2 linked regions of the Drosophila melanogaster genome follow. The protein of the gene in region 2 interacts with the protein of the main gene of each other region in a pairwise test. Each region holds a gene or a part of one and is shown on either strand. Other genes may lie near its edges. The genes, in order: Rchy1 and Cyp6a23.

Region 1 (3,927 bases), on a different chromosome or scaffold from region 2:
AGAAAAGCTGGCTATCAACATCACTAACCATGTTTACGTTCCGTAGAGTTCGGTTCCTGACTCATTTGACCAGCTGCAGCTAAATCCCGGCCAGCTGGCGGATTTCGAGCGCTTCCTGGAGGCCCGTTGTGCCCGCATGCCGTTGCAGCACATCATTGGCGAGTGGGACTTCATGGACATTACGCTGAAGACATCGCCGTCGGTCTTCATTCCACGCCCCGAAACGGAGGAGTTTATGCGCCTGGTGATCGATGATCACAAGAACGCAAAGCACGTCGATCTTTTGGAGGTGGGCTGCGGCTCGGGCGCCATGTCCTTGTCCATGCTACACAGTCTGCCGCAGGTGGTGGCCACTGCCATTGAGCGTAGCAAGGCGGCAACCGTTCTGGCTGCGGAGAATGCCAAAATGCTGGGGCTGCTGAATCGATTTGAGGTACACAACCACACCATGGAGGAGGACAAGTACCTGCCGGAGGCGCTGAAGGACAAGAAGTACGATTTGATCATCTCCAATCCTCCGTATGTGAAAACTGAGGAGTTTCAGTTTCTGCATCCCGAAGTCGTGGTGTAAGTGATGTTATACCAGATGGATGCAGTGCACTAACTATCTTATATCCCCAGGTATGAGAACCTTAATGCCCTGGACGGTGGGTCCGATGGATTGAGGGTGGCTCGACTGGTTTTCGACTTGGCTTGTCGGCACCTGCGTCCCGGTGGCAAGCTCTGGCTGGAACTGGGCAACGACCACCCGCCGATGGTGAAGACCATTATGAATCTGAAGTACGAGGGCCGGCTCAAGTTCATCGCCGGCTACAGTGACCAGTATCAGCGCGAGAGATTCGTTCAGATCGAGAAGGTCTAGGCGAGATTGCGCCATAGACAGGACGGAATGCTATGACTTTGACAATGCAATTAGCTATAACGTTGCCCATGCATTTAGCTGTGATTTGATTTAAGACCAGACATACCTGCACGCTGCCCAGAGACTCACACCTATATAAACAGAATATATAGCGCTATTAATCCTTAAGTTTCGTCTCTGAATCTTTTAGCAACAACCGCAGGCGGTATTACTTCACAAATATACCTGTATAAATTGCACAATGCAATTAGCTGTTTGATTTATGACCATATTATTATCAGTATACAAAAACCACAACGACTTTTACCTAAGGCTTTCTACTGCATTTTTGATCCTATAATAATGGATTAACATGATTTTAAAGATCAATAGGTTAAAAGTATAATGCACCTATAATAACTGGTCACTGATTTAAACTATGGCGATTATGATTTATAACCAGAGGCTTGCTGCCATAAATTGGAGGGTGTTAATGATCATCGCGGATCGAGTATAATGCTGTTTAATCAAACTGATGTATTCTATATCTGCGATAAGCAAAATGCTAACCATATTTTTGGCCTGAAAGATGTGTATCCTGTCAATATATAGAATCAGAATATTTCTATGCAAATTAGAAAGTTTTTGCTTAAAGTTACCACTTTAATGCTTATAGGTGTACTGATTATGAAAACAAGGACACATGTCCACAAGGATTACCATAATTATGAACCCGAGTGCATAAATCCCCCGACTTCGCATCTGAATCTTGTTGTAACCGCTCCGCTGGAGAGCTTTAAGCTCCGGAGCGGATAAAAGCTCCGACAGAGTGGCTCGGAGCAACAAGTGGCTAACTTCCGTTGCCAGTTGGAAGTCGAAACTCGCGCCGGACGAGTCTGCGGAATCCGGGTGCGCGAGTGGAACGCGGATTTAGATTGTCGTAGCTCTTTAATTCAATTGACGATTTCGAGCTGCGATCTCCTTCGTTCGGCTGGTGTGTGTTGTTTCACTTTCAAGTACGCATACATATGTGTAGTATAATTAACAAATGGCTAAATCATAATTAAAGTCGGAGTTTCAGTGGATATCACAATGAGCGCTTGATGAAAGTCAAGAAGAGGGAACTTAAAAAGCGCCGAAACAAAACAAAAACGAGAAACACGTTAAACGAGAAATTGATTTTAAAAATTCTACATAAATTTGACCATATAGATTTGGGTAAATGAATGAATGTGCATATATATGTACATGTATATATATATACATACGCCCAAACTGCGATTTGAAGGCGGTTTGAATGTGGATTGGAAACTTTTAGAAACCAATTAGCCAGATCGTGACATTACTTAATGCATTTATCCGCCCGATCGACGCGTGCAAGTGTGTGCCTGTGTGCGTGAGTGCGTGCGTGCGTAAACATGAATACCGAATTGAATCGAGTTCAAACTTGCGTTCTTTTCGCCGACTGGTTTTCCGGCGAGGCTGGCTTAATCGCCTTGCGTTTGTAATTTTAGCACACTTTCAATATTTATTGTCGGTCCCTGCTCCCCGGCGCAGAAAATGCGAATAACAATCTGAGCAAACAAGATTCGGCAACGAATTTGCAGCTTGCCGCGCTGTGCAAATAAAAGTATATATAAAAGTATGTACATATATACATTTATATATAGCTGGTAATGCCTCCTTTGGCAGCATCAATATGTGCACCTGCTACGTGCAACACCGACTTGCAGCAACAGCCAACCGATGAGCGAAAGTCGCACGCCGATTGTGTTAACAAGTGTGTGGCTGGCTGCTCCCTGCCCGCATTTTAATTCATCATCCGCACCGTGTGCCAAGGCACTGCGATTCCCAATCCGTGGAGCTGTGAACGTTTTTGGCGACCTGCAGGCTAAGCAAGCGATTTATATGCTGCCGCTCACATGGCACAAGGTCCCATCCAAAAACAGCAGCGGCCAAGATAGTAGTTCATATGCACATATTTGGGTTCTTAACAGGTTAATTGTCATTTTATAATGATATGGGTTTAATAGGTTTCCATATCTGATCCAAAACTATACAGAAATGGAAGAAAGTCATCATAGGTGATCTTTTATTTGATAATTTCTTACATAAAGTTACTACTTCTTGTTCCCCATTGTACGTTGTGTACAGTGCGCGACGGCTAAGAAAACGGAGTGAAAATCAAGATAGTCGTTATCTAGTTTAGATGGCCTTTCGCAGTCGGGGACTGGGAAACATTGAAATGCAAATACGCCGCCTCGGTAGTTTCATTTGTGTGTCAAAAATTGTGTGGGGGTGTGGGGGGTTAACCCGGCTTAGACTCTAATCTGATCGATCGGAGTGTGAGAAATGGCCTGCTAATGGAATACTTACCACTTTCCCACACTTTTCAATCGCTTCAGCCGAGTGTGTCACCTGTGCGAGCCCATTAATACCCAAGGATGAGCTGGACAAACGAAAGTTAGTTGCGATCGCGTGAAAAGGGAAACCGGACAGTCGGTTTTTTGAGTGCGGATACAAAGTCTACATGTGGCACAACGACAACAGCATCGGCCAGTAATTTAAATGCTTCGCGGCGGCAATTGAAAGGGCCAGCAATTAACCACGACTACTGCAGCTGCGAGGCATAGTGGAAAATCACTTTTATAGACGTACATACATAACTCTATATATACATAGAGTTAGCTCCTGCAGCAAAATGAAGAACCGCCAGCGAACGCGCCGAATATCGCTAAATGAAAACCACAACAGATACATGGGCAGCGGCGGCATCGATGTACAAATAGTTACCAATACAAAGGAGCCCAATCAAGTCAATTTAAATTCATCGTCAGCCACGACGACCTCAGCGGAGGCTGCTCTGCCCGCTTCGCTTCCACTTGCTCAGATAGCGCAGCAGCCACATACCCATCCCCATCCCCATCCCAATCCCCATCTCCACCAGCAACACCAGCTGATTGTGACGCCCACAACGATGACGGGCAAGTATCATCCAGCGCACGCCAAGCTGCGAAGATGCAAATCGACGCCGAGTCTCAATTGCGATGGCATGGCGGAGCCCATGGAGGAGGACCAGCTCCATC
Region 2 (3,927 bases):
CGCGATCGTGAAACTTATCGAAGTCGCGAATTAGCACGGTTTTTACAAAATCCACGTCCGTGATGACAATGTACTTCATAGCATAGAGGTAGAAGCCCGCAAAAGGTCCGTCGGTCTGTTTCCTGAATTTCAGATATGTTCGCTTGAGGATGCCGGCCAGCGGCATTGTTCTCCAAAGTTCGCCGGTATTGCCGAGCGGAATATTGGGTGGATCATGGGGAATTCCTCGCCGTTTCCAGTAGGTGTAGTTCTGGAGCACCCACCAAGCGACGAGCGTAAGGACACCGACCACCAAACCGAGCAGGATCGCCATTTTGAGCAGACTGATTTGAGAAACCAATTCCAAGCGTTGCTTTTATGAAGAAGAGCTTTCCATCTAGCTATCGCCTGCTCCTCTTTTTTAGTCGTAACCAAGAAAATTTAACTGTTCACTTCCAGATAGAGGTGCTAATAGCAAAAAAGCTGAACAAAAATTTATTGAGGGTATTACCACAAATATTTACAATAAATTTACAACAACAAACTAACAAGGCTTAATTTGAATGCTATACTCTCATATACTGAATATGAGCTTTAAGAGGGATTTAATTCAAAAAAATCATATATAGCCGTGAATAAATGACCAAATAAAATTGTAATATTTAACCATTAAAGCCCATAATAATTTTGTTTATAGTCTCATTTGGAAAGCTTCTCAACTTTAAGGTGAATGCCATTCTCAGCAGACAGAAGAATGCTTTTCACGACAAACTTCATGGGAATTTGTGTTTCTGTGGACACACTGAACTTATAGCCTCGGATTAGATAGGCCAATCCCACGCAGGCCTGCATCAGTCCAAACCGAAGACCGATGCAGTTCCGGGGACCTTCTCCAAACGGCAGCCAGGTGCACGAGGGTCTCGCGGCGATCGCCTCATCCGTAAATCGCTCCGGCTTGAACTTCTCCGGTTCGGGATAGATTTCCGGATCATAGTGAATACCAAGAGCTGGGATCACAACAGTGGTTCCCTTGGCAATAAAGTATTTAGGATCTTCAGGCGAAAAATCTGTCTGGGTCATTCGCGTTAGATGCGCCAGAACTGGATACTTGCGAAGGGTTTCTGTGGCGTAAAATGGGAAAAGGCCCTTTAGGTAAAGTTATGCAACCTCTTGGGATTTTACTTACCCATGACGACCTGCTCCAGATACTTCATCTCTTTGATTCCCTCGTAGGTAAACTCGTTGTTGTGTTTGCTCAGAACATTGTTGATCTCCGCCCTAAGTTGATCCTGAATATCCTGATCGAGGGCGAGCTCGTACAGGGCAAATCCCATGGTCGTCGAGCTGGTCTCGAAGCCAGCCACAAAGAAAATAAAGGCCTGTGCCAAGATCTCGTTGAAGGACAGGCCATCCTCAGTGTTTCCGGCCTGCTCCTTCTCGTACATTTCGATTAAACTGTCCATGAAGTCGTGACGCTTCTCGTTGGTCCTCAATCGGTAGTCGATAGTATTCCTAACAATGCTAGTGTAAAAGTCCTCAACATCCTGCACGTTTAGTTTAAGCCGCAGGCGGCGGGAAAGTTTGGGAAATCCGAATATCAGGAAATCCAATAGTCCTCCATAACGACGTTCTATGATCGCCCTTTTTCCGATTGTCACAAACTCTGCATTCGGGTTTTGCAAACTATTGCAATTTAAACCGAAGGCGCAATTACCGATTACGTCAGCCGTATATCGAGCCACCAGATCCACAATTTCCAGAACTTGACCTTCACCTGTGGTGGTTTTAGCACTGAAAATCTTCTCCATTTCCTCCCCAACCTTCACAATAATCGGAAACATGTTCTTCATTTTGCCGGACGTAAAAGTGGGTGTCAGTTTGTGCCTCAGATGACGCCACTTCTGACCCTCGATGCTGAACAAGGTGGCCGACAGCGGATCATCGATCTCATTGTAGAAAATTCCTCGATTCTCAAAGTGATTGAAGTCCTTGATCAGCACCCTCTTGACCAATTCCAAGTCGGTGATGACAGCAGACCGGGTGAAAAAGAAGTAGAACCCGGCAAACGGATAAACGGAACGTTTGTACTTTGTATAGTAGTCCCGGAAGATCATCGCAATGTGTCGCTTCTTGGGCCAGTCCTTCATGTTTCCGTATATTGGATGGGGCACATCGTGCGGAATACCCCGCCTCTGCCAGTATCCATGACGTCGGCGGGCCATGAACAAAAGCAGTGACACTAGAAGTGCGATCAACGTTAGTAACAGCGACATATTTCGTTCTCAGTCCGCTCCACACTGAGTTACCAACCGGAATGATATGGCCCCTTTATACGCGAACGTTCTCTTCTAATCTCTTCAAATGTACTCAGAAGCTAGTTGATAAAGCGAATATTATTGCTTTCGGTGTGTGTATGCCTTATTATGTGATGTTTGCTAGCAAATCAAAACATTGCCTAACACATAACACATTAAAAAGGTTAGTTAAAGAGGGCTTAAATTCATATTAACTGAGCACAGCCTAATCTAATCGATCACGTAAGTGAATCAAGCAAAATAAAGAACACAAATAATGTATTTGTTAAAAACTTATTTGGCGAGCTTCTCCACTTTAAGGTGGATACCATTCTCGGCCGATATCAGAATGTTCTTAACGACAATCTTCATGGGTATTTGAGTTTCCGGGGAAACACTGAATTTATAGCCCCTGATCAAGTAGGCCAAGCCCACACAGGTTTGCATCATTCCAAACCGCAGACCAATGCAGTTCCGCGGACCTTCTCCAAATGGAAGCCAAGTGCACGAGGGTCTCGCCGCGATTTCCTCGTCGGTAAAGCGTTCTGGCTTGAATATCTCCGGTTCCGGATATATGTCCGGATCATAGTGAATGCCCAAAGCTGGGATCACAACAATGGTTCCCTTGGCAATGAAGTATTTTGGATCTTCAGGCGAAAAGTCGGTGTCAGTCATTCTTGTAAGATGAGCCAGTACTGGGTACTTTCGCAGCGTTTCTAAAACAATATTTAAATAAATGTATCAAATAAAAAATAAGAAGGATTAAAGAAACATACCCATCACAACCTGCTCCAGGTATTTCATCTCCTTGATTCCCTCGTAGGTGAACTCTTTGTTATGCTTGCCGAACACATTGCCAATCTCCTCCCTGAGTTTATCCTGAACATCCTGGTTCCTGGCCAGCTCATATAGAGCGAATCCCATGGTCGTGGAGCTTGTCTCAAACCCAGCCACAAAAAATATGAAAGCCTGAGCGAGAAGTTCGTTAAAGGTCAGGCCATCCTCCGAATTTCCCGACTGCTCATTCTTATACATCTCTATCAGACTGTCCATGAAATCATTTCGCTTTTCCTTCGTCCGTAGACGGTAGTCAATGGTTTCCCTCACGATCTTGGTGTAAAAGTCCTCTGCCTCCTGGATATTTAGTTTCAGACGTAAGCGGCGCGATAACTTGGGAAATCCAAAGAGGAATATATCCAGCATATTCCCGTAGCGATGCTCGGTGATCGCCCGCTTGCCAATTGACACAAATTCAGCCTTTGGATCGTACAAGCTGTTGCAATTGAGACCGAATGCGCAGTTGCCGATCACATCGGCGGTGTACCGTGCCACCAGATCCACAACCTCCAAAACTTGACCCCGATCCGCAGCGGTTTTACTTCTGAAGACCTTATCCATTTCTTCTCCAACTTTCACAACAATCGGAAACATGTTCTTCATTTTGCCGGACGTAAAAGTGGGTGTCAGTTTGTGCCGCAGATGACGCCACTTCTGACCCTCGATGCTGAACAAGGTGGCCGACAGCGGATCATCGATCTCGTTGTAGAAGACTCCCCGATTCTCAAAGTGATTGAAGTCCTTGATCAGCACCCTCTTGAGCAATTCCATGTCGGTGACCACAGCAGTGCGGGTGAAAAAGAAGAAAAATCCAGCG

Evidence for each region.
Region 1: the proteins of Cyp6a23 (region 2) and Rchy1 interact in a two-hybrid assay, tested with the Drosophila melanogaster proteins (one large-scale study listed by BioGRID).

What each region holds. Positions count from the first base shown.
Region 1 is NT_033779.5:6,463,459-6,467,385, reverse strand, and holds the start of Rchy1 (ring finger and CHY zinc finger domain containing 1), read left to right. Parts: upstream 1-1,716; 5' UTR 1,717-1,857; intron 1,858-3,246; 5' UTR 3,247-3,542; coding exon 3,543-3,927. Other genes in the region: HemK1 (HemK methyltransferase 1), read left to right, coding at 47-567, 622-862.
Region 2 is NT_033778.4:14,874,186-14,878,112, reverse strand, and holds Cyp6a23 (cytochrome P450 6a23), read right to left. Parts: upstream 2,285-3,927; 5' UTR 2,253-2,284; coding exon 1,166-2,252; intron 1,101-1,165; coding exon 679-1,100; 3' UTR 459-678; downstream 1-458. Other genes in the region: Cyp6a19 (cytochrome P450 6a19), read right to left, coding at 1-313; Cyp6a17 (cytochrome P450 6a17), read right to left, coding at 2,568-2,989, 3,050-3,927. UniProt on the Drosophila melanogaster protein: May be involved in the metabolism of insect hormones and in the breakdown of synthetic insecticides.